Linked DNA regions of Sus scrofa. The protein of the gene in region 5 binds, or shares a complex with, the protein of the main gene of each other region. Links are inferred from orthologs where the notes say so. Each region holds a gene or a part of one and is shown on either strand. Other genes may lie near its edges.

Evidence for each region.
Region 1: TAF1C (region 5) and POLR2H share a complex: the UniProt entries of both Homo sapiens proteins name them as parts of the pol I pre-initiation complex. The link is inferred for Sus scrofa from reciprocal best matches to the Homo sapiens genes TAF1C and POLR2H.
Region 2: TAF1C (region 5) and TAF1A share a complex: the UniProt entries of both Homo sapiens proteins name them as parts of the transcription factor SL1/TIF-IB complex. The link is inferred for Sus scrofa from reciprocal best matches to the Homo sapiens genes TAF1C and TAF1A.
Region 3: TAF1C (region 5) and TAF1B share a complex: the UniProt entries of both Homo sapiens proteins name them as parts of the transcription factor SL1/TIF-IB complex. The link is inferred for Sus scrofa from reciprocal best matches to the Homo sapiens genes TAF1C and TAF1B.
Region 4: TAF1C (region 5) and TAF1D share a complex: the UniProt entries of both Homo sapiens proteins name them as parts of the transcription factor SL1/TIF-IB complex. The link is inferred for Sus scrofa from reciprocal best matches to the Homo sapiens genes TAF1C and TAF1D.
Region 6: TAF1C (region 5) and POLR1B share a complex: the UniProt entries of both Homo sapiens proteins name them as parts of the pol I pre-initiation complex. The link is inferred for Sus scrofa from reciprocal best matches to the Homo sapiens genes TAF1C and POLR1B.
Region 7: TAF1C (region 5) and ZNRD1 share a complex: the UniProt entries of both Homo sapiens proteins name them as parts of the pol I pre-initiation complex. The link is inferred for Sus scrofa from reciprocal best matches to the Homo sapiens genes TAF1C and POLR1H.

The regions. Positions count from the first base shown.
Region 1 is NC_010455.5:122,250,032-122,254,490, reverse strand, and holds the start of POLR2H (DNA-directed RNA polymerases I, II, and III subunit RPABC3), read right to left. Parts: upstream 2,863-4,459; 5' UTR 2,737-2,862; coding exon 2,664-2,736; intron 2,560-2,663; exon of another isoform or gene 2,521-2,559; coding exon of another isoform or gene 2,439-2,520; intron 1,443-2,438; coding exon 1,359-1,442; intron 1,287-1,358; coding exon 1,193-1,286; intron 123-1,192; coding exon 39-122; intron 1-38. UniProt on the Homo sapiens protein: DNA-dependent RNA polymerase catalyzes the transcription of DNA into RNA using the four ribonucleoside triphosphates as substrates.
Region 2 is NC_010452.4:11,348,746-11,352,443, forward strand, and holds part of TAF1A (TATA box-binding protein-associated factor RNA polymerase I subunit A), read right to left. Parts: exon of another isoform or gene 2,351-3,698; intron 1,667-2,350; coding exon 1,508-1,666; intron 1-1,507. UniProt on the Homo sapiens protein: Component of the transcription factor SL1/TIF-IB complex, which is involved in the assembly of the PIC (pre-initiation complex) during RNA polymerase I-dependent transcription.
Region 3 is NC_010445.4:126,562,266-126,565,963, forward strand, and holds part of TAF1B (TATA box-binding protein-associated factor RNA polymerase I subunit B), read right to left. Parts: intron 2,502-3,698; coding exon 2,402-2,501; intron 1-2,401. UniProt on the Homo sapiens protein: Component of RNA polymerase I core factor complex that acts as a GTF2B/TFIIB-like factor and plays a key role in multiple steps during transcription initiation such as pre-initiation complex (PIC) assembly and postpolymerase recruitment events in polymerase I (Pol I) transcription.
Region 4 is NC_010451.4:26,164,424-26,168,587, forward strand, and holds the start of TAF1D (TATA box-binding protein-associated factor RNA polymerase I subunit D), read right to left. Parts: upstream 2,860-4,164; 5' UTR 2,709-2,859; intron 952-2,708; 5' UTR 851-951; coding exon 792-850; intron 1-791. UniProt on the Homo sapiens protein: Component of the transcription factor SL1/TIF-IB complex, which is involved in the assembly of the PIC (preinitiation complex) during RNA polymerase I-dependent transcription.
Region 5 is NC_010448.4:4,447,123-4,451,550, reverse strand, and holds the start of TAF1C (TATA box-binding protein-associated factor RNA polymerase I subunit C), read right to left. Parts: upstream 2,880-4,428; 5' UTR 2,645-2,879; intron 436-2,644; 5' UTR 435-435; coding exon 297-434; intron 111-296; exon of another isoform or gene 52-110; intron 25-51; exon of another isoform or gene 1-24. UniProt on the Homo sapiens protein: Component of the transcription factor SL1/TIF-IB complex, which is involved in the assembly of the PIC (pre-initiation complex) during RNA polymerase I-dependent transcription.
Region 6 is NC_010445.4:43,957,101-43,960,798, forward strand, and holds part of POLR1B (DNA-directed RNA polymerase I subunit RPA2), read right to left. Parts: intron 2,081-3,698; coding exon 1,799-2,080; intron 696-1,798; coding exon 562-695; intron 1-561. UniProt on the Homo sapiens protein: Catalytic core component of RNA polymerase I (Pol I), a DNA-dependent RNA polymerase which synthesizes ribosomal RNA precursors using the four ribonucleoside triphosphates as substrates.
Region 7 is NC_010449.5:22,625,587-22,629,754, reverse strand, and holds the start of ZNRD1 (DNA-directed RNA polymerase I subunit RPA12), read right to left. Parts: upstream 2,885-4,168; 5' UTR 2,752-2,884; intron 2,639-2,751; 5' UTR 2,619-2,638; coding exon 2,483-2,618; intron 2,259-2,482; coding exon 2,158-2,258; intron 1,821-2,157; coding exon 1,711-1,820; intron 1-1,710. UniProt on the Homo sapiens protein: Core component of RNA polymerase I (Pol I), a DNA-dependent RNA polymerase which synthesizes ribosomal RNA precursors using the four ribonucleoside triphosphates as substrates. Can mediate Pol I proofreading of the nascent RNA transcript.

The DNA.
Region 1 (4,459 bases), on a different chromosome or scaffold from region 5:
GAAGGGGGAGAAGATTCTCACAAGACCATGGAACTTACAGGCGTGTTGCTGCCTCAGTAGAAGTTTCATCTCCCTCAATCCTGTACACTTTCCCATACATTACATACTCAAATTGGTCAGCCCTGTGGAACAATAGTGGCAGTTATTGTTATACACAGTCAACAATAATAAGAGACCCTTTAAAAATGGTAACTGATAACTAAGTGCCAACATCATAACAACAGGCACTTTCCAAACATCACATCATTTAGTCCCGACAGCAACCCTGTGAGCGAGGTATAACTGTAGGTATTTCACTGATGAAGAAACTAAGGTTGAAGGAAGTCAAATGTTATTCAACAAATAAGTGATAGAGATGAGATGTGAACTGAGTGGGGCTCTAAAGCCTTTCCTCACACAAAATTCCCTCCTGAGACACAAGACTTACACAGCCTACGTCATTCAGTGGTCATTTCCTCAGCCATCAAAAAGCTACAACTCGAGGTTTCCTGGTGGCCTAATGATTAAGGATCTGGAAATGTCACTGCTGTGGCAGAGGTTCGATCCCTGGCCCCAGGACCTTCTGCATGCTGTGGGCATGCCCCCCTTCCCCCAAAAAGCTGCAACTCATGCTGTAATCACTGCTCTGGATAAACACCTGGATGTCTGAACTCTCCCTTTTATTTATTTTTTTGGGGGGGCCACACCCACAGCACAAGGAAGTTCCCAGGCCAGGGATCAAACCCAGGCCACAGCAGCAACCCGAGCCACAGCAGATCCTTAACCTGCTGAGCTCCCAGAGAACTCATTGTTTGTATCCTTCGTTGTTGTCTTTTTTTTTTTTTAAGGGCCGCACTCAAGGCATATAGAAGTTCCAAGGCTAGGGGTAGAATCGGAGTTGCAGCTACACGTCTACACCACAGCCACAGCAACACCAGATCTAAGCTATGTCTGCAACCTACACCACAGCTCACAGCAACGCCGGATCCTTAACCCACTGAGCAGGGCCAGGGATGGAAGCTGCATCCTCATGGATGCTAGTTAGGTTCATTACCACTGAGGCACAACAGGAACTCCTGTTTGAATTAAGTGCGGCAATTTCCTTAAGTTTACATAGATTCTGTTCATAAACATTTATTCTATGAAGTAACTAAGGGTCTTTCTGTACTACTTATCTATTTAGTCCTCAGGCATATTTCAAGTACTTCCTCACCTGGAAGGCCTATCATCTGTGGGGTTGTATTCACCATCATCCAGAGTACCATCTTCATACAAAGTACTGGCTATCACCAACCGGAACTTGTCACCTGAAAATAACAGCAATATCAGAGTCTGAAATGCAAAAACACTTGCTGTTATTGTTTGTGTTCAACACTTACCCAGGTCAACAGGATAAATCTGAATGTTTACATCTAAGATGAGGTCCATCTTGAAAGATTCACTCTCACAATGCAGTCGAGACACTGGAGGGAAACAGAAAAAGAGCAGCAGAGGTAACTGCCTGGCCAAGTAGACCCTCAAGGGCAGGGCAGACCCCACTTTGAGAAACTGTATGCACAGAATACTTAATCTGTATCCAATGGCCTCTCATCTGCTCTCATAGAAGTACAGGCTCAATAAGAACCACATATACAAGCAAAGAGGCAGAAAACTATGGCTGGTGGACAGAATGCCCAGAAAAGAATCAAAGGTCCTCTGGCAACAAATAATATCACGTTCTAGGCCTGCATGGGTGACTAAGAAACAACCTGCTCTGGGGCAAGTCAGTCATCCAAAGGTTTTGCCTTTCCGTGCCAGGCGCTGTGCTAAGGAGATTATTAAGAACTGCTGTTTGGGGAGGTCTTGTCCGTGGCTCAGTGGTAACAAACCTGATTAGTATCCATGAGGATGGGGGTTCAATCCCTGGCCTCACTCTGTGGGTTAAGGATCAGCTCAGGGGATTAAGGATCTGGTGTTGCTGTGAGCTGTGGTATAAGTCTCAGACGGGGCTTGGATCTGGCGTTGCTGTGGCTGTGGTGTGGGGCCTGCAGCTGTAGCTCTGACTCGACCCTTAGCCTGAGAACCTCCATATGTCCTTACGTCTGGCCCTAAAAAGACAAAATCAAACAAACAAACAAACACCTGCTGTTTGTTCTGAAGAATATCTCAGTCTCTAAGCAAAGGAAGAGACACCAAGGACAAATAATTCTTGATCAACGTCAGAACAAGGAGGTGTATACCAAGCAGTCAACTCTTAGAGAGGATTTCACAAAGAGCTAAGACTCTGAGGGCAACAGGCCCTGAGGTCGGATTATTTGCTGTACAGCCTTGGGTGGGTTGCTCAGCCTCTCAGAAGATGGGTAAGACACCACCTACCTCGTGGAGACTCTCGAAAGGAATAAGTAAGGCAATGTGTGTAAAGTGCACAGCACAGCGCCTAGCAGAGTGGGCAGCGATTAAAAAGATGCCAAGGAGGTTACCAGCACCATGAAGAAAGGTCACCCAGGCACCGGGCACAGCATGTGTGAAGCGAGGGAGAGCTCGAAGTCTCCGTTTTCTCATCTATAAAACGTTTCCTGAGAGAGGCCCCTAGGTCAGGACCTGCCGGTAGGGGAAGACCACATGAAATGTGTGGACAAGAGGCCCAGGGGCGTGTCCCTGAGATCAGCCGCTTCTCCCAAACCGCCCCTACAAACCTTACTCACCTCGGTCAAACTTCTTGCCCTCTGGGTCAATGTCTTTCACATCAAAAATATCCTCGAACAGAATGCCCGCCATGGTGAGGGGGCCACGAGAGAAGCAGAGGTGCTGAGCGCGTGACGAAGACTACGGAGCAGGGCACGGCCCCGCGTGGAGAAAAATGAGAGAGGAAAATGCAGCGCCTGAAGAGCGGCAGCAAAGAAATAGAAGGACGCATGCGCACAGACCAGCAGTAACGCAGCTACTTCCGCCGCCTAGCTCTCGGGGCTTCTTAACTTCCGCCCCGAACGATTGCTTCCGAGAGGCTTCAGTGTTTAGGGCGGTCTCACGTCCAGATAACTCCTCCCAGGGCGGGAACACGATAGGTCCCACCTCCAGCCGGGGGTGGCTTGGTGTCCCGCTCTCTCCGGAGGCTCTAGTGCGCCCTCTTCAGATGCCGGGTTAGGAAGACTGGAGTGCTTGGGGGCCTACCCCAGCCAGGGACCTTGATCCTTGGCCCAGAGAATCCTGGCCCTAGCCCTACCCTGTCGGTCCGCGGGTCTGCCGAGGGCACAGTCCGCGCAAAGGGCTAGCGGAGCAGAACCACGCCCCCAGGGCGATGGCCAAGTAGGGTGCCGTACCCAGTCCTTCTAGCTGGCACTGAGGAATCCCGGGCTGGCCCAGGCCGGCTGGGCCCAGCTGGATGTCACCCGACCCGGTGATATCCACTTTGGGAATTTGCCATGATGTCACCATGGGGAAGAGGGAAGTCTGCACTGTCTCCTCCTCTGGTACTGCACCCTCCCCACCCCTGATTTCTTACCTCGCACCGCCCCTTCAGCATGGTATTAACCCCATCACACTGCTCTCCTCAGTACTGCCCCTTCGGCTCGGTTCTGGCCTTTCCTCCACCACTGCGCTCACCTTCTGGACACGTTCTCCTAAGTGCTCCTTCATCCCGGCATTGTCCTCTCCTATGGATACCACCTCTTCCTTTACACTGCCCGTTCCTCTAGGGTGCTGGTTCTCACACTGTCCCCTTCCTGGGCACTCCCTCCTGGGAACCCCCTCTGCCTCCCACCTGCCCCTTCACCCTGGTACTGCCTCCTCCTGCACAATGCCTGTTTTCCTGGGCACTGGCCTGTCCCCTGACTCTATCTCTGACTGTGTTCACCCCACACTTGTTCACCCCACCCTTTGCACTTTTCTTCTCCGGAGCCTGATAGAGAACGCAGAGCCCCAGCAGGCTGTTCCCCCTTGGCAGCTAGACGTCAGCAGCTACTCGGGTTTCTTCTTCAGCCCTGCCAAGGAGAAGCGACCTCTGTCCCCCCACGCCCGCCTCCCAGGAGCGGCCTCCCCAGCACCTAGACCTCCCTTCCCTCCGGCTCCACCCACGCACAAGCCTCAGGCCAGCTAGCTCCAGGTGCACCTCCCCGGGACAGTCGCAAAGAAAGGAAGGGGGATGAGAGAAACCGAAGTTTCCAGTTCCAAGCACCCCTCTTCTGGGCCTAGCGTCCCCCTCCGAGTCTCCCCAGTTCTGTTTCTCACCCCCCACGGAGCAGAGGGGCCTTGCCAGGCCGGTCTGAGCCGTTGGCTCCTTCAGCAAAGCAAGTGAGGGCACCGCTCTCTCGAGAGAGATTGGGCCCGAAAGTCGGCTTTAGACGGTTCAGCAGCCTGCAGCCCCAGGTCCTACTGAGCGCCGACCTCGGTAGCCGCCCCCGGCCGGACGCGGGGAGCCGCAGACACTGCCCAGCCCCTCCACGTGCCAGCGGACCCGCCCCCACCCAGGCCCGGACGCCCCTCTCAGCCACCCGCCTCCGCG
Region 2 (3,698 bases), on a different chromosome or scaffold from region 5:
GTCTTTTTTTTTTTTAGGGCCACACCCACGGCATATGGCGGTTCCCAGGCTAGGTGTCTAATCGGAGCTGTTGCTGCTAGCCTACACCATAGCCACAGCAACCCCACATCCGAGCCGAGTGTGCAACCTACACCACAGCTCACAGCAACACAGGATCCTTAACCCACTGAGCAAGGCCAGGGATTGAACCTGCAACCTCATAGTTCCTAGTTGGATTCGTTAACCAATGAGCCACGACAGGAACTCTGGTTAAAGGTTTCTTAAACAAAAGGTACTAACTATAAAAGAAAAATGAATAAATTGAACTTAATCAAAATTAGACATTTCTGTTCTTTGAAAGATACTGTAAAGAAAACAAAAAGGCAAGCCATAGCCTGGGAGAGAATATTTACAATCTGTATATCTGACAACGGACTTTATCCAAATTATATGAAAAACTTCCAAATCAATAAGAAGACAAATAAGCCTCCAAAAAATAAAGCATGTGAACAGACACGTCACAAAAGACGACGTGTAAGAATAGCCAACGGGCCTATTAAAAGATGTCCAACATCATTAGCCATCAGGGAAATGCAAATTAAAAGCCCTTGAGACACCACTACACACCCACTAGAATGGCTGTGATTCAAAGGACTGAATACCAAATGCCAAAGAGGGTGTGAGAAACTGAACTCACACCCTGGTACCGGGAAGGTCAGTGGTACCGTCACCGCAGAAGACAGCTGGGCAGTTTAATACGGACCTTCCACAGTGCCGCTCTTAGGGAGCTGCCACAGAAAAAGGACAATAGAGGTTCCTAAAATCATGCACATGCATACCCACGGGGATATTCATAATAGCCCCAAAGTGAAAACAACATCCATGTCCACTGAGAAGTGAATATACAGAAATGGAATATTGCTCATTAGTAACAGGGAACAAATTACAACAAGGATGAATCTCAAACATTCGGCTGAGTGAGAAAATACAGACAGAAAAAGGGTACATACTGTCGGACGCTGTTTACATGAAATTCAAGAAGAGAGAAAACCAACCCACAGTGACAGCCGGTCAGCGACTGCCCGGGGCAAAGGGTCAGAGGGTGGACTGGCTGAGAAGGGCAATGAGGGGCTTTCTAGGCTGAAGGCATGTTTCACATCTCAGTTATCACAGGGATCGTGTGGACGCATCCATCTGCCGAAATGCATCCAAAGGTACACGTAAAATAAGTGTTTTATTGTACATAAGTTTCAAATAAAGGTGCACTTAAAAAAAAAAACTGCAATGCAGAGCTTCCCAACCAGGGTGACGCAGGGCTTCTGACACACGGGTCCCTCCGCTTGGTCTCCCCTGGGATGGGGCGGGGGTCTGCGTGGGGCCTCCTGTCTTGACCTCAGTGTACCGTATGCACACTGTCACTGTCTCTGGGTGCTATGACATCAATGTCAGAAAGTGCTGTCCCAAGACCTGGCTAAAACACGGGCTAGAGTGCGCCCCCACCCCTGCTCGCTGATAGGAAGCGCGCTACCTTCAGCACACGGAGCAGTTTCTCTCTGGGGGCCTTCTCTCGCTTGAGGAAGCTGTATAAATAGACGTGAGCATTGGGGTTGGACGGGAACTTCTCGTCATAGGCGTAATTGGTGAGCACCTCTCGGGCTCCGTCTCGATCCCCATAGAATTCCAGCATCTATATAAAATAAGTCAAAACATCTTTGCTAAATTCTGTAAGAGGGCTATATGAAATAGACTGCACAAGCTGACATTATTGATGAGCACAAAAAAAATCAGAAAACTGCTAAACGATCACAACAAAGGCCTACACGGTTTCCCCTTTTTGTTCCTTATCCTATTTTGTGGTAGAAAGATGCAGCAAGTGTCTACATGAAAAACTGTCCCTATGAGACATGACGTCTTCAAAGTAGGACACACTAAGGGCTAAAGAAGGACCACATGATGCAGCCCATCACAGGGCCCAATGTCACGTCAGCCACAAAGGGAGGGCGGAAGAATTATAACTCCTTTCTTTGCATTCTTTCCCATTCTGAAACAGGAATTTCCAGATTTGCTGGCAGTTTCAGAGATTATCTTCTGATAATACAATCATCACTTCAGCACTAGCACTAATGAAACTTCCAAAAAGCAAAATGGTTTTTTTTCTTTCTTGTCTTTTTAGGGCCGCACCCGCAGCATATGGAGGTTCCCAGGCTAGGGGTCCAATTGGAGGTGTAGACGCTGGCCTATATCACAGCCACAGCAACACCAGATCCGAGCCATGATTGCAACCTACACCACAGCTCATGGCAACGCTGGATCCTTAAGCCACTGAGCAAGACCAGGGATCGAACCTGCAACCTCATGGTTCCTAGTCGGATTCGTTTCTGCTGCACCATGACAGGAATTCCACTAGTCGGGTTCTTAATCCGCTGAGCCACAACGGGAATTCCAAAAAGCAAATTATTATTATTATTATTTTAAAAAGCAAGCCCAGCTGGTTTCATTGAAGAAAACTCATGCATGATTTACTTTTCGCCAGTCTGTTCTGGCATGCTGCCAATGATACCACAATCACCTGGATCAGTGATGGCCAGTGCTGTGCCCAGTTCGATATTCTTGCCACTGCAGTGATGGACACCAGTTGTGGCCAACATGGCGTGACATTCGATTTCAGATTTCCTCGAGGCTGGGCAGCTGCTGGCGAGAATGGCCAGTTCCGTTTTGCCCTGTCTGGTCATTCGGAGTTCTGCTTGTACCCCAGCACGTACTTGGCACTTTTCATCACGAGCTGGAGCCGAGCGTTGATTGACTCCAGCAACTTTTTCATCTTCTTTGTGGCCACCATCTTCCTGCCTTAGGTGCGTGACGCCCCCAACCACAAGCAGCTGCCAAGACGGCCGGGCAGCAAGAAAGCCAAAAAGCAAATTATTTTGATGAACTACTCCCACCGCCCAGGGCCAGCGCGCTCTGTCCTTTCACAGTGACTCTGAGATGGCAGGACATCCTTAAGAGCCTCTGAAAGCCACTCTTCGTCTCATATTTGTGACGTAGTTCCAGAGTTTTAGCTCCTTCCCAGCAATACCCCACCAAATCATAAGAGAACTTTCTGCTTTTCTCAGAAGCTCAAGAAGAACACAGAAGTGACACTTACAACTAGAAGGCTAATAACTTTATAAACAGAGTCAGCATCAGCCACAGGCCCTGAATCCTCTCAGACCTCATTTTAGGGTTCAACCAACCACAGATGGAAAAGATTCAGAAAAAAAAAAAATTCAGAAACTTTCAAAATGCAAAATTTGAATGCGCTGTACACAGGCAACTATTTACATAGCATTTACAATTTATTACATGTTTTATAAGTACTCTTAGAGGTGATTTAAAGTCAACAGGAGGATGTGCATAGGTTATATGCAAACACTGCACACATAAAGACTGAGCATCCACGGCTACTGAGAGACAACTGTATTTGGCCACGACATGCTATCCAGGGGTGAAAAAAATACCGTCACATGTACAGCATGTTGGTAAGAGAAAATATAAGGTACTTTGGTAAAATAAAAATTATGCAGACAAAAAAAAAGTGGCATCATATTCCCTTTTTTTAAACCATTTTCTCCATTAGTTGCCTTCTAATCAATAACGATAAAGCTTATAACAGAATGAAACTGGTGAAACTATGAGAAGTCTACTTACCTCCACGTAACTCTTCACAAATGCGTCCTGAA
Region 3 (3,698 bases), on a different chromosome or scaffold from region 5:
TTAATTTTTTTAAAAGTTAGAGCGGCTATATGAATATTGGACAAGGTGAATGTCAGAACAAGAGACATTATCGGGGGGGGGCGGGAAGGACATTACATAGTGATAAAGGAGTCAACTCATAAAGAAGACAAATATCCTAAGTACTATGACCTAGTATTAGAGCTCCAAAAGACCTGAAGCAAAAACTGATAGAATTTTAAAGAAACGCTGCTATCACAGTTAGAGATTTCAATATTCTTCTCTCAGTAACTGACAGGATAAGTAAAATTAGTATTTGAATGGTTTCGGAGCAAAAACATAACGAGCAAGTGGACGTATAAATAACTCACTTCACCTCAACTTACTAAACTTGTATCTTGGGGCAGAGAATGGTACAGATTTGACACAACACTGAGACGGTAATATTTCAGGTTGAAACCTTGAATTATCACCAGACAGAAATGTGTATAATGCAGTTCTCTTGTGGCACAGCAGCTTAGGGATCCAGGGCTGTCACTGCAGTGGCTTGGGTAGCTGCTGTGGCACAGGCTCAATCCCTGGCTGCAGAACTTCCACACGCCATGGGTGCAGCCTCCCCCATTTCCCCCCCCACCACCCGCCGCCCCAAAATGTGGCTGTAATACTTGTAGGGACTTCTTACCATATTGCTCACAGGAGGGCAATGCAAATATTAAGCAAAGGCTTAAGCTAAGCTTCTGGAAAGTATGAGCCACACTGGCTATTACAGTAAGACTCACTTGGGTCTGTGCATTATATGTCACTCTTGCAGTCATTTAAACATTTGGTAATAATGTAATCTATTACTATTTGAAAGGACACAGAATAAATTTTTTAAAATAATTATTTTTATTGAGTGAAATCTGAGCGTCTTTGTGAGTATGCATAAAGTGAAACTGAATTCCTTAATTCACAAGGAAATTACTGGTAGACACCATATAAACCCAGCCAAGGAAGCAATATCCTTTATAAGCTGAATTTATGATAACCAAAATTACAAACCACCTTAATGAAAAGCAAGAGTCGTATCTATGGACTTTGTAGAACCTACTTTGAAAAACGTAGAAATGGCACATTCAAGGTGGTTGTTTTTTAATAGACCTTTTTTGTGTGCGTGTGTGGCTGCACCTGTGGCACCTGGAAGTTCCCAGGCTAGAGGCCAAATCAGAGCTGAAGCTAAGGCCTACACCACAGCCATGGCATATCCAAGCCACATCTGCGACCTATACTGCAGCTTGCAGGAACACAGGATCCTTAACCCACTGAGTGAGGCCAGGGATAGAACCCACATCCTCATGGATACTAGTTGGGTCCTTAACCTGCGGAGCCACAATGGGAACTCCTTAACAGACTTTTAAAACAAAAACTTTATTTTCCCAAACTGATACATACATTTTTTTTTCCCCTAGCAGCTTGATTATCCTCTTAATCTCTACCTCAGAGGAAAAGTTTTTCCACCCTGGAGGCTGGAAGGAAGCCTATTACCATTTCAATGTCTGTGCTAGGTCAGTGATAGGTCTGCATTTTGAATATACTGTCTCTTGAAAACCCCAATGAGGTGAGGTTTGTTATTCCCAAGTTGCATTTCTTCTTGAAAAAATAAGAGGCTTAAGAGATCTCTAAATTTCCCTCCAGTTTTAATATTCCATGACTATATAAAATGCTGATGTCTATTCCTGAGAAGCTTACAATTTGGTTAGGGATTTTAAGACAAGTAACAGTAAGGTGCCAACAAAAAGTATAAATAACCTCGACCAGCAAAAATTTCAATGTAATCTGAGTGATGAGTGGCTCTGAGAAATCAGGTTAAAACCCAGTCAATAAGGATACAAGAAACAGAACAGACAGGAGATGAAGTGAGAGGAAAGAGAAGGGAAGAGAGGGAGAGCCACGGAGGAGGAGAGGAGAGACAGGGCCGCCAAGGCTGAGCGGTCCCCACAGGAACGCACCACTCAGTCCCCTTGGTCCTCTAGGGAAAGTCACCAACCAAAGACACCCCTAGAATCACTGAACTGAGTAGCTTTTCGGAAGAACATTTAAACGAGGCCCGTTTAGCAGCTAAATTTAAAATTACGAATTAATGAATTATGCAGATTTTCAAATCAATTACTTAAAAAACCTCCTAAGTGACAGTTTTGTTTTTTGTTTTTTTTTGTCTTTTTGCCATTTCTTGGGCCGCACCTATGGCATATGGAGCTTCCCAGGCTAGGGGTCCAATCAGAGCTGTAGCCGCCGGCCTACGACACAGCCACAACGCGGGATCTGAGCTGCGTCTGCAGCCTACACCACAGCTCACAGCAATGCCGGATCCTTAACCCACTGAGCAAGGCCAGGGATCGAATCTGCAACCTCACCATAATACTCTTGTGTCTTCTGACTGCAAAGTACAAAGAAAGGAACTCACCTCTATAGCAAAGATTCCTTTGTCACGCCCGTAGAGTTTCATCTCTTCTGGAAAATGCTGAAAAGCGTTTATGTAAGGGATACAGTCCTCTTCTGCAAACCTGCGTTTTTGAAAAGAAAGAGTTTCAATAAGGGATGTGTACGAAAAAAGAGGTAAAATGTATCTCAAAGACAAGGTAAGACGCAGTTGAGTATATACCCTATAACCTAAACATTTTTAAGGATAATCATGCTGAAAATAGATACTATGCTCTGTAGCCATGTGTGCAGAAAACATTTAGTTGCTACCCAATAAACTCTTACACTTCCGGGTAAATAGATACAACAGTTCTAGAAGGTGCGTTTCCTTTGTCTGTCTGTTTCTAGCAGGCTTGCAGACAGGGCAGTCCTGCCTTCTCTCCCGCGCTGCCCTCACACGATTCGCTCCACTTCTTCAGGGAGTTCGACCTTGACCCTGTTTCTCCTGTTAGGGTACCTCCCTTGCCCACCATTCTGTCCCCAGGACCAATGACACTGCCTGGAAGGGCCTGTCCTGGAAGAACAATGACAGGAACGTGTAGACATTCACCACCCCGTCTCAACATCCAGGACAGAGCAGCTAATCCAACATTTCGAGTAAAGTATTGAAACTGAAGAGAAGAGCACGTGTATAAATAAGTGCACACACACACACACACACACACACGCACACGTACTGATCGCTCACTCACTCAACAGAAATGTGCTGAGCACTGTAGCCCCGGCATACTCTAGGCTGGGGTACAACCGCGAGCAGAAGAGGAAAATATTCTAGTTCCTGCGGAATTTCCATTCTAGTGAGAAGAAAAAGAGGACAAACCAAACAAATAAGTGAATCTATGGTATGTAAGTCGGAGAAAATAGGAAGAAAAATAGAGAAGAACAGAGAATGAGAGGAATGGGGTATAGCAACCTGTGCCCCCTCCCCCCCACGGCTATAGATTAGGTTTTTGTTTTTGTTTTGTTTTTTCTTCTTAAGGCTGTACTCGCGGCACATGGAAGTTCCCAGGCTAGAGGGCGGAAGCGGAGCCATAGGAGCCGTAGCTGCCAGACTACGCCAGAGCTACAGCAATGTGGGATCGGAGTCACATCTGAGGTCTACACCACAGCTCATGGCAACACTGGATCTTTAAGCCACTGAGTGAGGCCAGGGATTGAACCTGCATCCTCATGGATCCTAGTCAGATTTGTTTCCGCTGAGGAGTTCCTGTCGTGGCTCAGCGGAAACAAATCCGACTAGGATCCATGGGGATGCGGGTTCGATCCCTGGCCTCGCTCAG
Region 4 (4,164 bases), on a different chromosome or scaffold from region 5:
TGGTTATCTCCATCATACATAAACCAGCATCCTTAATAATGTGAAATATCAGAATATCCATTCTCTTGTTACACAACAGAATGATTTAGTCAGGAAAATACCAATTTGGCCCAGAGAATACACTCCTGATTTGATTCCCTGGGTTACAAACACGTCCCACTATTCCAAAGTAGTTAAAGCGAAAGTCTGTGGAAACTGGGTTTTCCTTTTTTTCCAATTCTTAAAAATTACCTTACAAACTATTCATTATCTACAATGATGCATGCTATCACAGCAATTCCAATACAGTAAACATTATCACCTAGTCTGTTCCCAGGAAAACCTGGTGGTAGTTAACTGAGAAATAAAAACACTGCCTGCTCTATCAGTAAGCAAAGGATGTCAGTCATCAGTGATTTCAGCCACCTCCGATGGTGAGCTGGTGAGCCCTGAGCGAACACAGGCAAGAAACACCTGCCAGCCAGCAGCCACACCATATAGTGAGCCCTGAGGAAACTCAGGATGGAAAAACAGGGGATACTGGCTAGAGACAGCTGAGGTGCACATCAAAGACGTTATTTCAGTGAACCCAGACCTTGGCATCTTCTCATACAAAGACATGTGCTGAATTCCTTAACTTGAGGTTATCTGCCCTTCGTTACAGGACCCTCCCCTTGTCACCCTGCAAGAGTTCTCTCTGGGTTACTTGAGATGCTGCCTCCTAGACTTAAATCCTCATTTTGCCCCAAATAAAACTTAACTCACAGTTGTGCATATTTTTTATGTAGACATTTTTTTAGAAAAACACTTACCTTTGATTCTCAATTTCCAAAGCTGAATCAGAAACTGTTGTACAATTGTGAGAATCCATCTTGATATATAGTCTTCAAGCTCCTCTCAAAATTGTCACTTGTCCTTTGCTTTAAACAGACTTCTGACCATATGAAATCTGGTAGATGTGATGTAGTTTCCCTGAACAAATAAATGCCAACAAAACAGCTAGGATCAGAGTAATGCAGATATTGATGTAGTCAATTACGAAAATTAAGACAAAAATGAATGTAAGGCCTTTAATATTCTCATATACAACTGTCTAATTCTAACATCTAAAGATTTTATTCATGGGTTCTTTCAGTTGTGCCTACTTAATCCATCCTATAGAACAAGATTCCAGATTTCCTACAGGAGTGTCAAACTTCTTTTCCCTAACAGTAAAAATGTAATTTTTACCCTTAGCCATACAGTCATGTAGTTACAAATAGTAATGTTCAATTAATGGCCAAAAAGCCATTTGCCAACAGTGGTGGGAACCAAGAAATCTCTTGCATAACAAAGATTAAGTCCCACAAAGGCAGCCTTTGGCCTCAGTATACCCAGAAAAATTATTTGGACTTACCTAAACCTAACCTTCAGGTCTGCAATTTTCATTTATGGCCTCTTTCCCTCACTAGATTTTAAGTTACTGTGAAACCCCTTCCTTGATAAATTACTTCTTTGCTACTATGGGTGTTAACCCAAAGTTCTGAATTCTCACTTTTCAATGTACAGACTACAATAAATGGTGCCCTTTGTCTCCTTTAAAAAAAAATCTCCTTGGAAGATTTTACAGTAGTTTGGGAAAAGTATTAAAGATGTCTTATTTTGTTCTGTTTCATTTCCTTATGAGGATGTCATCATTCTTCATTTTTTTGTGGTGTTCTTAGTCTAACATTCTTAGTAATGACACATGAGTAATGATGAAAGAAATCCTTCAGCAGCAGTATTTGAAATCTAAGAAATCAATAAGATCACCTAGATCTTAAATTCACAATGTCTCATGGACTCGTGTGATAATTTCATAGTGTTTTATTGCAGTTTTCAAAACTGCGTTAACCTAAGAAATAAATCATGAAAACAGCCTAAAAAAGAAATTCAACAAAAACTGGATCCAATGGCAATGATGGAATACCTGACATTAAGTTTAAAATAATTACAGAGCACACTATCAAAATTAAGTAAGCTTAACTCAAAAATGTTTTTCAAGAGTTTCTATTGTGGCTCAGTGGGTTAAGGACGGGACGCTGTCTCCGTGAGGATGCGGGTTCAATCCCTGGCCTCACTCAACGATCCCGCGTTGCTGCAAGCTGCTTGGGTCACAGATCCAAATCGGATTCTGCATGGCTGTAGTGTAGGCCGGCAGCTGTAGCTCCGGTTCAACCTCTAGCCTGGGAACTTCCATATGCTGCGGGTGTGGGGATAAAAATAAGAAAAAAAAACTTTCGGGAACTAGAAAGCATTCCTATCGCTTCCTGTTCCGGGATTCTGCAACAAGGGGCCACGGAGCCAGGCAGTGCTCTTTAGCAGCTTTAACAAAATCCCTTCAACTCTTACTTAGTGCGACCTTGGGGCGAATGTCTCCAGAAGTGCCTAACCTCGTGCAAGGAAAATGGCGTCGGTAACGGTTACCTCGCACTTAACCACCACTAATTGAGAAAACGTGCACTCGCTTCAATACACTTGCACTTCAACACCCACAACTCCGATAACGGCCCACGCGCTTAGCCTGTACCTGTGAGTCCTGCCGCCCAGAGCAGAGCCCACAATCACCGCGAGCCCTCCGCTCCCGCTGAGCCGCGCAGGCGTCCCGGGAAAAGTGAAAAGCGCCAGGCCCTCCCCCTCCTTCGCCCACAAGGCCCCGGCGCCCAAGTCCTCTTTCCTATCCGTCCAGACCGCGGACGGCTTATACCAACCTGTGCCCGCTCTGCGCACGGGTCTCCGTTGGCGTCCTCGGTTGCAGCCCCGGCCTCAGAAACCCGCGTTGGGCGCGCAGGCCCAGAAAACACCCAACCTCCACAAACGCGCGGAAGAAAAGGCTGGGCTAGTCCCGCGTCCCAGCTAATAGTGGCCCCGAAGTCTCGCGATAACAATTTGACTGCAGGAAATAACAGAGAGATAGGAGAAAACCAGACGCGGCGCTCCATATTGGCTGCCGCGAGGGGCGGGGCGATTTAGAGTGGGCGGGACCTGAGCTTTTTAACCCAGGGGAGGCGGACTTGACTGAGGCCAGGCCAGGCTTCTGGTGTACGCGTCCTGAACCGGTAAGGTAAATGGAATAGTCAAGAACGTTTGGGCAAACTATGAAAAAGAAATTGTGGGGGCAGGGGAACGGAATGAATGTGAACTGCGAGGAAGAGCCACTTCTCCTGCTTTGACTCCAGTGGTCTCCCTTTGCTGAGCTGTCCTCCGACTTTCCAAAGTCTGATTCCGGGTGTGTGTGTTTGTGTGTGTGTCTACTTTTGCCTTCAAAAATCTCTTCTGTGTAAAATTGTGAGAGGATCATGCTGTGACTGAGAATCGAAATGTGTAACCTTTGTACTAGAAGCCATTGTTATCCAGTTACGCACTCAGTTCCCTCTCCACCTTCGGACTTGTTTTGTTAACTCAGTCTTTCTTTTGGAACTAAGGGTCAGCCTCCCAGGAGGTGGTTAACACATCGCAAGAGATGCCAGCGGGGGCCTTTTTTTTTTTTCTTTTTAGCCCTCTTAGTTCCCTGAGCGGTAAATGAGTGTTAAGGTAGAAGTTAAACTAGTTTAGTTTTGGTGGCAATTTTTTCCCCCGAAGTAGTTACAAAAAAGGAATGAGCTGTCCTGATTTGTCTACTTTCAGACCTCTTGTATCATATAATAAAACCAGGAAAGCTGTCTCGTGTTAATTTGTGGTTAGTGTCATCTCGGGATAGGACAGACCTGGAAGGTAATCAGGTTTCTTTACTCAATTTTTCTCTAAATGTTGTTCTAAATTCCAGGCGCAGAAAGTCTGGTTTTCTAGGCATTATGAAGTACTGTCAGCTCCAGGACAGGTATCACATGTCTTAGTCACTGCTATATTCCTAGGCAGGCCTGCATATGCAGTTTGTGAAGCTCAGTACAAAATGAAAATGCATGTATTTTATATGCATAACTGATTCACTTTGCTGTAAACCTGAAGCTAATAAACATGGTAAATCACATATACCCCAATAAAATTTTATTCTATTTTATTTATGTTTTTTAGGGCTGCAGGTGCAGCATATGTAAGTTCCCAAGCTAGGGATCCAATCAGAGCTACAGCTGCCAGCCTACACCACAGCTGCAGCAACATGGGATCCAAGCCACATCTGCTGGATCCCCAACCCACTGAGTGAGGCCAGGGATCAAAACCTGAGTC
Region 5 (4,428 bases):
CTGGCTCAAGCTCCCTCTGTTCCCCTGGGGCAGGGAGAGCATCTGACTTACACTGGATGCCAGGCCGGAAGGCAGCTGGCCCACAGGAGTGGCTGTTCAGTGAGTCTTTGCTGGACAGATAGAGGAAGGAAAGAAGAGGGAGAGGGAGGCAGGAAAGCAAGCCAACAGCTCCCGCTCAGGAGCCCTCGGTGGACGGCAGAGCATCCCTGGTCCCCAAAGGAGAGGATTCCGGCGCGGATCTGTGCGAGGAGCGGGGGGCCAGGCGCACCACCCGGGCCCCCCCCCGCCACCCTCACCTCAGAGGCCCGGGGCTGGGGCTCCGGCAGCGTCAGCGCGTCTCTCCAGCTGCACATGAAGGACACATCAGGGACACCGCTCAGACCAAGGGGGCCGGTCATAAACAAAGAGGGCGGGAGCGGGCTGGGGAAGTCCATCCTGGAAAACGAGAGCCACACGTCACACTGGCCTTGCTCAGAGACCAGAACCTGCCGGCAGCTGCCAGTGTTCCTGGGAAGGCAGGGAAGGCAAAAAGGGCCCCGAGGGGGGAAGAGTTTCTTTGGGGAAGCAGCTAACAAAGAACAAACATGCAGCCTAGTGCCAGACAGTAATAAGTGCTCCATGAACACCAACCAGCCAGCCAGGAGGGAGGGGAGGGGAGGGTGTGGTTTTCACAGAGGCAGAAGGCATGTGGCACCCCCTGAACAACCAGGCAGCCACGGAATGAACCCGGAGGTAGGTGACGGGACCAAGTCAGGTGGCAAGGGGTCAGCTTCCATCCCGCTCCTTCATATATCCTAATTATACATCCTCAGACGACACGCTCAAGACAAACTCAAGTCCCCAAAGCCAGGGACAACGAATCTTATTTGTCTGCCTTCCCACTGACAGGTAAAGTACCTTCCAAAAAATGTAGCTGACTGTGTGTTGAATAATAAATTTACGTCAAAGGCCTTTGGTAAATACAAAGTGTCCTAGAAAAGCAGAAAAATAATCCCTCCTTTTTCTTTCCTCCCATTTCTTCTTACAGCTATACCTGCAGCAAGTGGAAGTTGCTGGGCTAGGGGTGGAATCGGAGCTACAGCTGCCGGCCTACACCACAGCCAGAACAACGTGGGATCTGAGTCGAGTCTGCAACCTACACCACAGCTCATGGCAACACCAGATTCTTAACCCACTGAGCGAGACCAGGGTTTGAACCTGCATCCTCACGAATACTAGTTGGGTTCTTAACCCACTGAGCCACAACTGGAACACCAAACCCCTCTTCCCTTTTTTAATTAACCACAAAAATAACAGCAGCGCTCACTGACTGAGCACCAGCATCTGCCAGACAAAGGTACTACATGTCTCACTCTTCCTCTGCCTCTAAGACAGAGTTCAGGACCCTGAGGCTCAGCAAAGAGTGACTTTCCCAAGGCCAACAGCGTGATCCTCCACCAGACTCAAAGTCCAAGTTCGGAACCACTACTCGCTTTCCTGTGCATCCAGAAGGAAACACCAGCATGAGAGTTTCAGGAAGCAAAACCCTTTCCCCAGCAACAGCAGGTGCACTGTGCCTGTTTATTCTGTAACCTCCAACATCCATGTACCCTCAGCACCCCGTGAAGTGTCCACTGCACAGTAAGTGAAGTAAATACTTGTCAAATGAATGAATGTGTTTCTCTGGGCCTCATTCTACTTGTGGTTTCTGTGTAGTCTTCTCTCTTCTGCGAGACTGCTCTCCAGAGGCAGAGACAGTATCTGATTCATTCTTGAGATCCTGGCGTCTGGCTGCTGCTGTCATTCTCTTTTCCGTAACAGGAGAGGGCAGTGGCGGGAATGTGTCTTTTCACTTCAGGACCGTTTATCGCTATCTCTCTGCTTAGAATGAGCCCCATTGCCCTTCCTACCCACCTACAAAAATCCTACTCACCCTTCAGATTGCAAGTCAGGACACTTCTCCCAGTTCTCCCAACCCTAGCCCACAACAAACACCCTGCACCCTTCCTCCTAAGAACGCCTTCCGGTGTGGGGTTAGAGACTTATGGATGAAGCTATGTGATTCCAAACTGTTCTAAGAGTCCCCCTGGGGAAGGGACCTTATCCCCAGTGCCTTGGTATTTGCTACATAGTAACAATCAACATCTATAAGCTGAAGGAACAAATCCAGAACGAATGGAAGAGAGGAGAAAGAAACCAAACAGCCTTACAAATACATAGGCTGAGGGCGCTAGTGGAGCCCATGATCTCAGAGAAGCCCCAAGACAAGACAGCCTCGACTTCCCGCCCTCGGGCTGGGCTCTCCAAGCCCCTTTCGACATCCAAGGATGCAGGGTTAGTCACCGGCATTAATTCCAGGCCGGGCACGGCAAAAGGTGCGCCTGCCAGAGGATGGGAGAGTGGATGCTGGCAGCCCTTCCCTTCAGACATCCCCTCGTCCAAGCCTTCCCCATCCACCTCCAGGCTCCAGAAGTTCAACCCAACAATAGCAAGACAGATCTCGCACCAAGCGCTGGGTGTCAGACAGTTGTTGCTACCACGCTTTACAGCGGCGGGATCCTCCCAACTCCGGGAGCCAGCGGCTGCTAATAAACCACTTCGGAGCCCGCGGACCTGAGCAGAGGGACCTGCCGCTGAGTGCCGGCCAGGCGGCGTGCACACTTACGTGGCCTAGGCTTCGCCGTGGTCGCCTGAGAAACGAACCTCCGCGGGCCGTTCGCCTGACCCTCGCGCCACGAGGGAGCCCGAAAACTGAATCCAAGCTCAACTCCCTCCACGGGACCTCCCACAACAGCGAATATTCTGACTTCCGGGCTGGGCTAGAAGTACTTCCTCGAAGGCAGGAAGTCCCGCCTCCCAGCCTGGCCTCATGGGCGCCCCAGAGCGCCACCTCCCGGGCGGAGGGGGAATGGGGGGTGGAGGCGGCCCTGTGGGCAGTAAAAACAAAATCCCGTCAAAATCCAATAGTGGGAGCTCCCGTGGTGGCTCAGTGGTTAAGGAATCCCACTAGGAACCAGGGGGTTACGGGTTTGACCCCTGGCCTCGCTCAGTGCGTTAAGGATCCGGCATTTCCCTGAGCTGTGGTCACAGATGCGGCTCACATCCAGCATTGCTGTGGCTCTAGCGTAGGCTGGCGGCCTCAGCTCCGACTGCACCCCTAGCCTGGGAACCTCTATATGCCAGGAGTGCGGCCCTAGAAAAATACAAAAAGACAAAAAAAAAAAATTCCAATAGTGAAGTCCAGGTTGATGGCCGTGCGAACCCCACCTGTGCTTAACTAACTTCCCATTTTTCAGGATTGTTGTATTAATTCACTCAACAAACACTGAGCACCTACTGTCAGCCAGGCACTTCATTAGTCAGCAGGAATCCTAATTGTCCTTATATACTATGAAATAGGCTTTACAAGTAGAGGTTCTGGTACCCATGGGAGCGCATGAGGCTTTCCCAGTGGTCAGGCAAATACAGCTTTAGGCATTGTTTCTCAAAGTCTAGCTAGCATTGGCATCACCTGGAGCGTGTGTTAAAACAGAATTTCTGGTTCTGTGAGTCTGGGGCCTGATAAATTGTATTCCTAAGTTGCCAGGTGATGCCGATTTTGCTTGTAGGGAGAACACCCTTTAAGAACTACTGGTCAATCATAAATATTACCATTATCCAGGCCGGGAGTTTTCAAATCTGAGTGTGTGCCAGAATCCCCTGAGAGCCTGTTATAACTGTTTGCTGGGCCCCACCCCCAGGGTTTCCTGGTTCAGTAGGTCTGGGATGTGATCTAAGAATGTGCATATCTAGGAGTTCCCGTCGTGGCGCAGTGGTTAACGAATCCGACTAGGAACCATGAGGTTGCGGGTTCAGTCCCTGCCCTTGCTCAGTGGGTTAACGATCCGGCGTTGCCGTGAGCTGTGGTGTAGGTTGCAGACGCGGCTCGGATCCCGCGTTGCTGTGCCTCTGGCGTAGGCCGGTGGCTACAGCTCCGATTCAACCCCTAGCCTGGGAACCTCCATATGCCGCGGGAGCGGCCCAAGAAATAGCAACAACAACAACAACAATAACAACAACAAAAGACAAAAAGACAAAAGACAAAAAAAAAAAAAAAGAATGTGCATATCTAATGAGTTTCCAGAGATGTTGATGCTGCTGGTCCAGGCATCGCACTTTGAGAACCATTCATTTAAAGAATCAACTTCCAAGAGTTCGCGTCATGGCTCAGTGGTTAAGGAACCTGACTAGTATCCATGAGTACGTGAGTTCCATTCCTGGCCTTGCTCACTGGGTTAAGGATCCGGCGTTGCTGTGAGCTGTGGTGTAGGTTGCAGACGCGGCTAGGATCCCGCGTTGCTGTGGCTCTGGCGTAGGCTTGGCAGCTACAACTCTGACTAGACCCCTAGACTGGGAACCTCCATGTGCCACAGGAGTGGCCCTAGAAAGGGCAAAAAGACAAAAAAAAAG
Region 6 (3,698 bases), on a different chromosome or scaffold from region 5:
GAACCACGTCTGCAACCTATACCACAGCTCACGGCAATGCCGGATCCTTAACCCACTGAGCAAGGGCAGGGACCGAACCCACAACCTCATGGTTCCTAGTCGGATTCGTTAACCACTGCACCATGACAGGAACTCCTTTTTTTTTTTAATATATTTTCAAATCCCAGTAGGCAACAGGATGACTTGTATCTGGCATATCTTTAATATTACTTGAAATATAAAGTCTGTATTTTAGGGTCCCCTATACGCCACTAATATTTACAAAGAAAAAGAAAGTTAAAAATGTGTTAGTGAGTGGACCAGAGCCCTCAATAAAACCACCACCACAGAAAAAAGGGGGTAGTACAGGTTAAATACCTGTCACTAACCCCAACCAATGAGGTGAGTATAAGGTAAGATGCTGGCTGCCACCAGAGAGAATGTAAAAGGCACTTTTGGGATCAGCTTCTGGCCTCTAGAGCCCTTGACCCTGGAGAAGGCCCTGGGGCTTCCTTGACAACAAGAAAAAGACCAAACAGCTAAGATGGAGGGACAAAACACCTCACAAGAACTCAAGAGCACCTTAAAATGTCGGAGGGAGTCAGCGATGCTAGGAGCGAGCTCCTTGTCTGCCCAGCCAACCATGACGCCATCCAGGAGGACAGGGTAGCACTCGCTGTACCGCCGATGTGGTGCACTGTCCACGGGAGTGACCCCTGGGGAAATCGAACACACAGAACCATCACCTCAGGCTCCTTTCCCCAACATTTAAATTCCCTCCAGATGGGTTCAATGTCGGCATCACCATTTTAGACATCTAGGCATCTTATCTCTAAAGCAGAATGTTTTTGTATTCTTGAGTAAATTTCTAAATCATTTCAGCAAGGACCCCCCAAATTGCGTGTCTGCAATTGCCCCTAGAGAGCACCCTGCAGACAGGGGTGTAAGGGAGGCTTTTTACCATACACTTTTTTATTTCTGAGCCATGTAAACATACCAACTTCTCCCCAAAAATCTAATTATAATTGATCTGCATTATTCACGCAACACAAATCTGCCTACTTGCTAAAATTTATTTGCAACCCCAGCTTCATACTAGTGGCACTTTTCCGATCACCAGAGGACATTCAGTGAAAATTTTGAGTTGTCTGAGACACGAATTCCCAGCTGAGGTCAAAGGAGGTGACGTGCAGTTTGCCGGTCTCAGCTAATACTATAGACAGACATCCTTCCCATGGTCTGTCCCAGGCCCTATTTATTTATTTTTTGCATCTTTGTGCTTTTCATTGGAGACTTTGCTATTTAAAATGGCCTTCAAGCACAGTACTAAATAAAGTCCTGGCTCCCAAGCACAAGGCTGGAAAACTGTGTTAGATAAGCTCAGAGTTATGGTGCTGTTGGCTGAGGGCTCGATGTTAGTGGATCAACAATATATATTGACTAAGGCATCTTTAAACAGAAACACAAAACAAGGCTATGTACCAATCAAGTGAGGAAGGTGTTATGACAAGAGACTTGCAAGAACCTAATCCCTGTTCCCCCAGAAGCAGTACCTCAGTATCTGCTAATTCAGTGCCAATGGTGACTTTACAGAAGTATTGCAATTACCAAGAACTTTAAGAACACTCTTTCATGAGCCATAAACACCTTCTGAAGACAGCAGGTGTTTCCCCAAATGTCACAGGTTATCCCCAATGCTTCACTCATCATCCCTGCAGGAATTCTCTGCTCAACTCACGCAGAAGCACAACTTAGTAGCTTTGCACCTGCTAAAACCCCCACAAGCACACAGGCCCGCTGATGGCTGTGCCCCACCTACCCAAGCTGCAGAGCAAAGCTGGAATAGAGGCTGTATACACGAACTGGGTGACGACCTCGCACGTGGCGGTTAAGTGGTTCATCAGACCACAGGGCTCCCCATCAGGGGTATGCACGGGGCAGAGGAAGCCCCAGGACTCTGGCAGCAGCCTGCGCACCGTGGTCGTCCGCATCTTGGCAAAATCAGCCCCTCTGTGCACACAGCGGAAGTGGGAGAGGTAGCGTATGAAGTTCAGCTTGTCAGCCACGACACAGAGTCCAGAATCCTGCAGGAAGCCAAGACCTTCATAAAACAAAAATCATCGAAAATTTGTATTGGAGGTGATGAAAAGATGACAAAACCTCAGAGCACAAACCTAAAGATCACAAAGTGGGTTATTACTGAGGTTACTCAGCTCTGGTAGAAGAAGGGGTTACAAAAAATAGCAAAAACCCCCAAATTTCACCAACTTGTATTAGCCTTGACTCTTTCCTCATCTCCTCTACACATTCTCCTTTATTAAATTAATAATACAATAGCAAGTAATTAAATGGGACTCATCTCAGAAGGCTGGATGACACACAAGCATGTCAGCTCTTAATGAACCTGCATCTGGAGTTCCTGCTGTGGTGCAATGGGATCAGTGGTGTCTTGGGAGCGCTGGGACACAGGTTTGATTCCACGGCCCAGCACAGTGGGTTAAGGATCTGGCGTTGCCACAGTTGTGGCTGGGATCTGATCCTTAGCCTGGGAACTCCATATGGCATGGCCAAAAAAAGAAAAAGAAAAAAAAAAAAAAAAAAAAAAAAAAAGAATCTGCATTAGAAGAACTGTTTTGTTTTTTTGTCTTTTCTAGGGCTGCACCCGCAGCATATGGAGGTTCCCAGGCTAGGGGTCTAATTGGAGCTGTAGACACCGGCCTACACAACAGCAACGCCGGATCCAAGTTGAGTCTGCAACCTAAACCACAGCTCACGGCAACACCGGATCCTTAACCCACTGAGCAAGACCAGGGATTGAACCTGCAACCTCATGGTTCCTAGTCGGATTTGTTAACCACTGAGCCACGAAGGGAACTCCCATAGTTTTTTCTTTTTTTAAAAAAAAAGCAGATTTCTGGGCTCTAACCATTTTTTAAAATTTTCCAGTCATTCTGATGTAACTGGTTTAGGGAAGGGCATGTATACCAAGCCTCCTAGACTCCCCACCTAGGTAACCTTTCCTCAGAGCTAAGCTGTCTTTAGTTTTCTAGAAGGAGGCATAGAAAACGCATGTGACCATTAAAAATAGAATAAAGCTATACAGACAACTTGTCTACAGCCTTTAGGCCAACATCCACCTATCAAAATTTGTAACCTGAAATCCGCCTTTGATGAAGTTCATTTTTTTTTTTTTTTTTTTTTTTTGCTTTTTAGAGCCACACTTGTGGCATATGGAATTTCCCAGGCTAGGGGTCAAATTGGAGCTGAAGCTGCCAGCTTACACTAGGGCTCACGGCAACACTGGATCCTTAACCCACTGAGAGAGGCCAGGGATTGAACTGACATCCTCATGGGCTAGGTAGGTTCATTACTGCTAAGCTGCAATAGGAACTCTCAGAAATTCATTTTTTTTTCTTTCCTTTTTTTTTTTTTTTTGGTCTTTTTGCCATTTCTTGGGCCACTCCCACGGCATATGGAGGTTCCCAGGCTAGGGGTCCAATTGGAGCTGTAGCCGCCAGCCTACGCCAGAGCCACAGCAACGCGGGATCCGAGCCGTGTCTGTGACCTACACCACAGCTCACGGCAACACCGGATCCTTAATCCCCTGAGCAAGCCCAGGGATCGAACCTGCAACCTCATGGTTCCTTGTCGGATTCGTTAACCGCTGAGCCACAACGGGAACTCCTCAGAAATTCATTCTTAAATAAATCTCTATTAAG
Region 7 (4,168 bases), on a different chromosome or scaffold from region 5:
CTTATAGTAAAAAAAGCACAAAACAAAAGCAGCACCATGAGGGAGTCAGCAGAAATAACAGATGGCAGCATCAGACCCACAAAAACAGTGGGTTTGAGAATTAACAGACATAGAACATAAATATCATGTTTAATGTTTACATGTAATATGTTTTATGAATAAAAAGAACCACTTAAAATATGATTAAGGAATTGGGAATTATTAAAAATAACTAAGATGATTTGAAAAATAATCAGGATTTCCCTTGTGGTGCAGTGGGTTAAAGTCCAGCACTGTCACTGCAGGGGCTAGGGTTTGATCCCTGGCCCAGGAATATCCACATGTTGCCGGCATGGCCACAAAAAAATCAAACAGAACTAAAAAATCTATCCAGAAACAGCATAAAGAGAAAAGAGATGGAAAATATGGGAGACAGGGTGAGAGAAATGGAGGATAGAAGATAAGGCCTAATAAAGAGCTAATCAGTTAGAACTCTAAGAATATGAGAACTGAGCATATGAGGGAAATATTCAGTGTGATAACAGCTGATAATTTTCCAAGGTTGATGGGGGAAAAAAGGTCAACCCTCACTGTTGGAAGGCCCAACACATCCCAAACAGGATAAATAAAAGAAAGCCACATCTTGATAGATTGTAGTGAAATTGAAGGACACCAAAGACAAAGAGGAATTCTTAAAACTATGTTTTAAAGAACCCATGTTCTGGGAGTTCTCGTCGTGGTGCAGTGGTTAACGAATCCGACTAGAAACCATGAGGTTGTGGGTTCGATCCCTGGCTGCTCGGTGGGTTAAGGATCTGGCATTGCTGTGAGCTGTGGTGTAGGTTGCAGTCTTGGCTCGGATCCCACATTGCTGTGGCTGTGGCGTCGGCCAGCGGCTGCAGCTCTGATTAGACCCTAGCCTGAGAACCTCCATATGCCTCGGGAAGCGGCCCTAGAAAAGGCAAAAAGACAAAAAAAAATAAAGAAATAAAAATAAAGAACCCATGTTTTTTAAATCATCCATGACTGACTCTCACCAAAGTAAAACTACCTTGAGGGCAGTGGAGGAGTCCAACATAACACACTGATCACAAACCAATACTCATTTCCTTTTAACTATTGTAAAAGGTTTAATTCACTGGGTATAAAAAGATAGGAAAAGAGTAATTATTTAAAATTTAAAAAGACCACAGAACTTCCCATCGTGGCACAGCAGCACAAGCAAATCCGACTAGGAACCATGTGGTTCAATCCCTGGCCTCACTCAGTGGGTTAAGGCTCTGGCATTGTTGTGAGCTGCGGTGTAAGTTGTGGACGCAGCTGGGATCCGGTGTTGCTGTGATCTGGCGTTGCTGTTGCTGTGGTGAGGCCAGAGGCTACAGCTCGGATGTGACCCCTAGCCTGGGAATCTCCATATGCCACGGGGTGCAGCCCTAAGAAGGAAGGAAGGAAGGAAGGAGGGAGGGAAGGAAGGAAGGAAAGAAGGAAGGAAGGAAGAAAGAAAGAAAGAGAGAGAGAGAGAGAAAGAAAGAAAGAAAGGAAGGAAGAAAGAAAGAAAGGATGGAAGGAAGGAAGAAAACGATCACAAACCTATTACTTGAACTGTACAGAAATGAAGGATGCGACCAGTCCAAAAAGTACAAAAATTAAACCACTGGATTTAAATTAAATCACGGGATTTTGGCAGCAAAGAGACCCAGAAGGGGCAGAATGGAGGGAAAGGATACGCACTTGCAGTTGGTACAGGTGTAGAAGACAGTCTGCCCTTCATCGGCTGAGCGCATCTGTCTGGTGTGGTATGCCATTCCCTCATGACCACAACGAGGACAGCGCCTGTCAACCTGGGAAGCAACTGGTAGGTTAATAATTCCCACTACTTCTCACAGACATCAAGCTACCACACTCCTCAGATACTGCTGGTTTTTGTTTTGCTGCACCTGCAGTACGTGTAAGTTTCCAGGCCGAGGATCGAACCCGTGCCACAGAAGCGACCTAAACCGCTGTAGTGACAATGCCGGCCAGATCCTTAACACCCGGCTGCACCACAAGAAAACTCTCCCCAGTCACTACTGTTTTAAAGACTCTTCTTCCCTGTTGTGTACAAAACTCTCCAGATCTGAGCCCTCCGTTTCGTTCCCACCCTCTTTACAGGGCCAGTCCTCGACGTGATTCACTTACCACGGGTCCCTGGAACTCAGGTCCTTCCTCCATCGACATAGGCATGGCTGTCCCCACTTTCTGGAACACAACTGAGGTCTTCACAACCTTCCCCTCAAAGTCTGCGCGGGCAGTAAGAATTGGTTGTGGAGACAGCGGAGGGGGCTGACACCACACTAATCCCTCTCTGTTAGGCCAGGAAGCTATATTCTACCCATCAGGTTTCGTGCCGACCAAAAGTATAAGTGCCTGATCCTGCGCTTTCGGGTCCCCGTCTTTAATCCAATCGATCTTGAGATCCCCATGGGCCCTCCTCCGCCCCAGCCGCGGCGTAGCAGCACCTCACCCCGCACGTTGATGGAGAAGCCACAGCGAGTACAAATGACCGCATCCTGAGTCCCGGGCAGAGGCAGGACCGAGCCGCAATCCGGACAGAAATCCAAGTCCGACTGAAAGCTAGAGGATGTGCGGGCGAGGTCCATGACAGACGGGTGGTCGAGGGCTGGGAAGGGGATGAGGAGTTTATTAAGAGAGTAGCCCCTTCCCCAGAGAGGTCATGCCTATTCTGTCCCTGGACGTAAGCATGCAGAACCCGAGATTTCTTCCTACGCATACCTTGTGCCTCTGTGACTAAGGAGCCCAAACTTCCGGAATCCCTATCCCGCGTCGGGTACAACTACGCTGGGGGTCTTTCCTGGGGCAGGCGAGAGGAGCAAGTCAACTTCACGGGCTAGAGCGCCGGCTCCGCGCGGGCAACCGAGCAGCGAGCGCGTGGCGGGCTAGAGAGTCCACGCGTCCCGGCTCTCGATTGGCTGTGACGTCATAATTAATTGCAACTGTGATCCCGAGAGCCTGGAGAGGGAGAGGAGCGGTTCTGAAGGAAGATTGTGGCGCCCCCTTCAGCCTGGTTCTGTTACGTTGGATACGAAAATAGGTGACGAAGCTGCGCCTGCCTCAGGTTATTTTTTCCCTTCAGGACTCAGTCCTGGGATGTTTATTTTATTGGTCTCGAATTTTACCAGGACCCAGTCGCGGGGAGCGTTTCTCCTGAGAAGTCGGACCAACCTTATAGAGTACTAATTTATTTATTTGGACTGGAGAACTGCAAACTCCAGCGGTTCCTGAATCTGCACTTCACTGTGGCGGTTGGACAGTGGTAGAAAACAAAGCGAAATATTCTGGGAGTAATTCTAGCATTCTTTGGGCCTTGCGACCCAAGCAAGGGCTCTCTGCAGGACCCGGTATGGCTCATGTGCTTTGGTGGCTGTTGCCTTGTCTATAGTGTAGATCACAGTTGCAGCTTTGATTCAGACCCTAGCTTGGGAACTTCCATATACCACAGGTGCAGCCTTAAAAAGAAAAAAGAGAGAGATCATGGTATTTGTAGATTAAAAATCATAGTTCCCACTCTTTATATGTTTAAATTTCAGCATCAAAATGTTTTTTGTATTTTGAGTTCATGTTGTGGCACAGCAGAAACAAATCCGACTAGAAACGATGAGGTTGTGGGTTCGATCTCTGGCCTCGCTCAGTGGGTTAACGATCTGGCTTTGCTGTTGCTTGAGCTATGTTTCGTTTTGTTCTTTTGTTTTTCCTTTTGTTTGTTTGTTTGTTTGTTTGTTTTGTTTTGTTTTTTGTTTTTGCTTTTTTTTGCTTTTTAGGGCTGCACTTACAGGATATGAAGGTTCCCAGGCTAGGGGTTGAATCAGAGCTACAGCTGCCCACCTATGGCACAGCCACAGCAACATAGGATCTGAGCCATGTCTGTGACCTACACCACAGCTCAGGGCAAGGCCAGATCCTTAACCCACTAATCGAGGCCAGGGATCAAACCCGCAACCTCATGGTTCTTAGTTGGATTTGTTTCTGCTGCACCACAACAGGAACTCCCATGACTGATTTTCAAATAAATTGTAGAAGTTATATTTTTTACTTCTATTTTTTACTTTGTATTCATCGGAAGGCAAAAATCACTGATACAGGAGTTCCACTCTATGGCAAAATGGGATGGGCAGCGTCTTGGGAACACTGG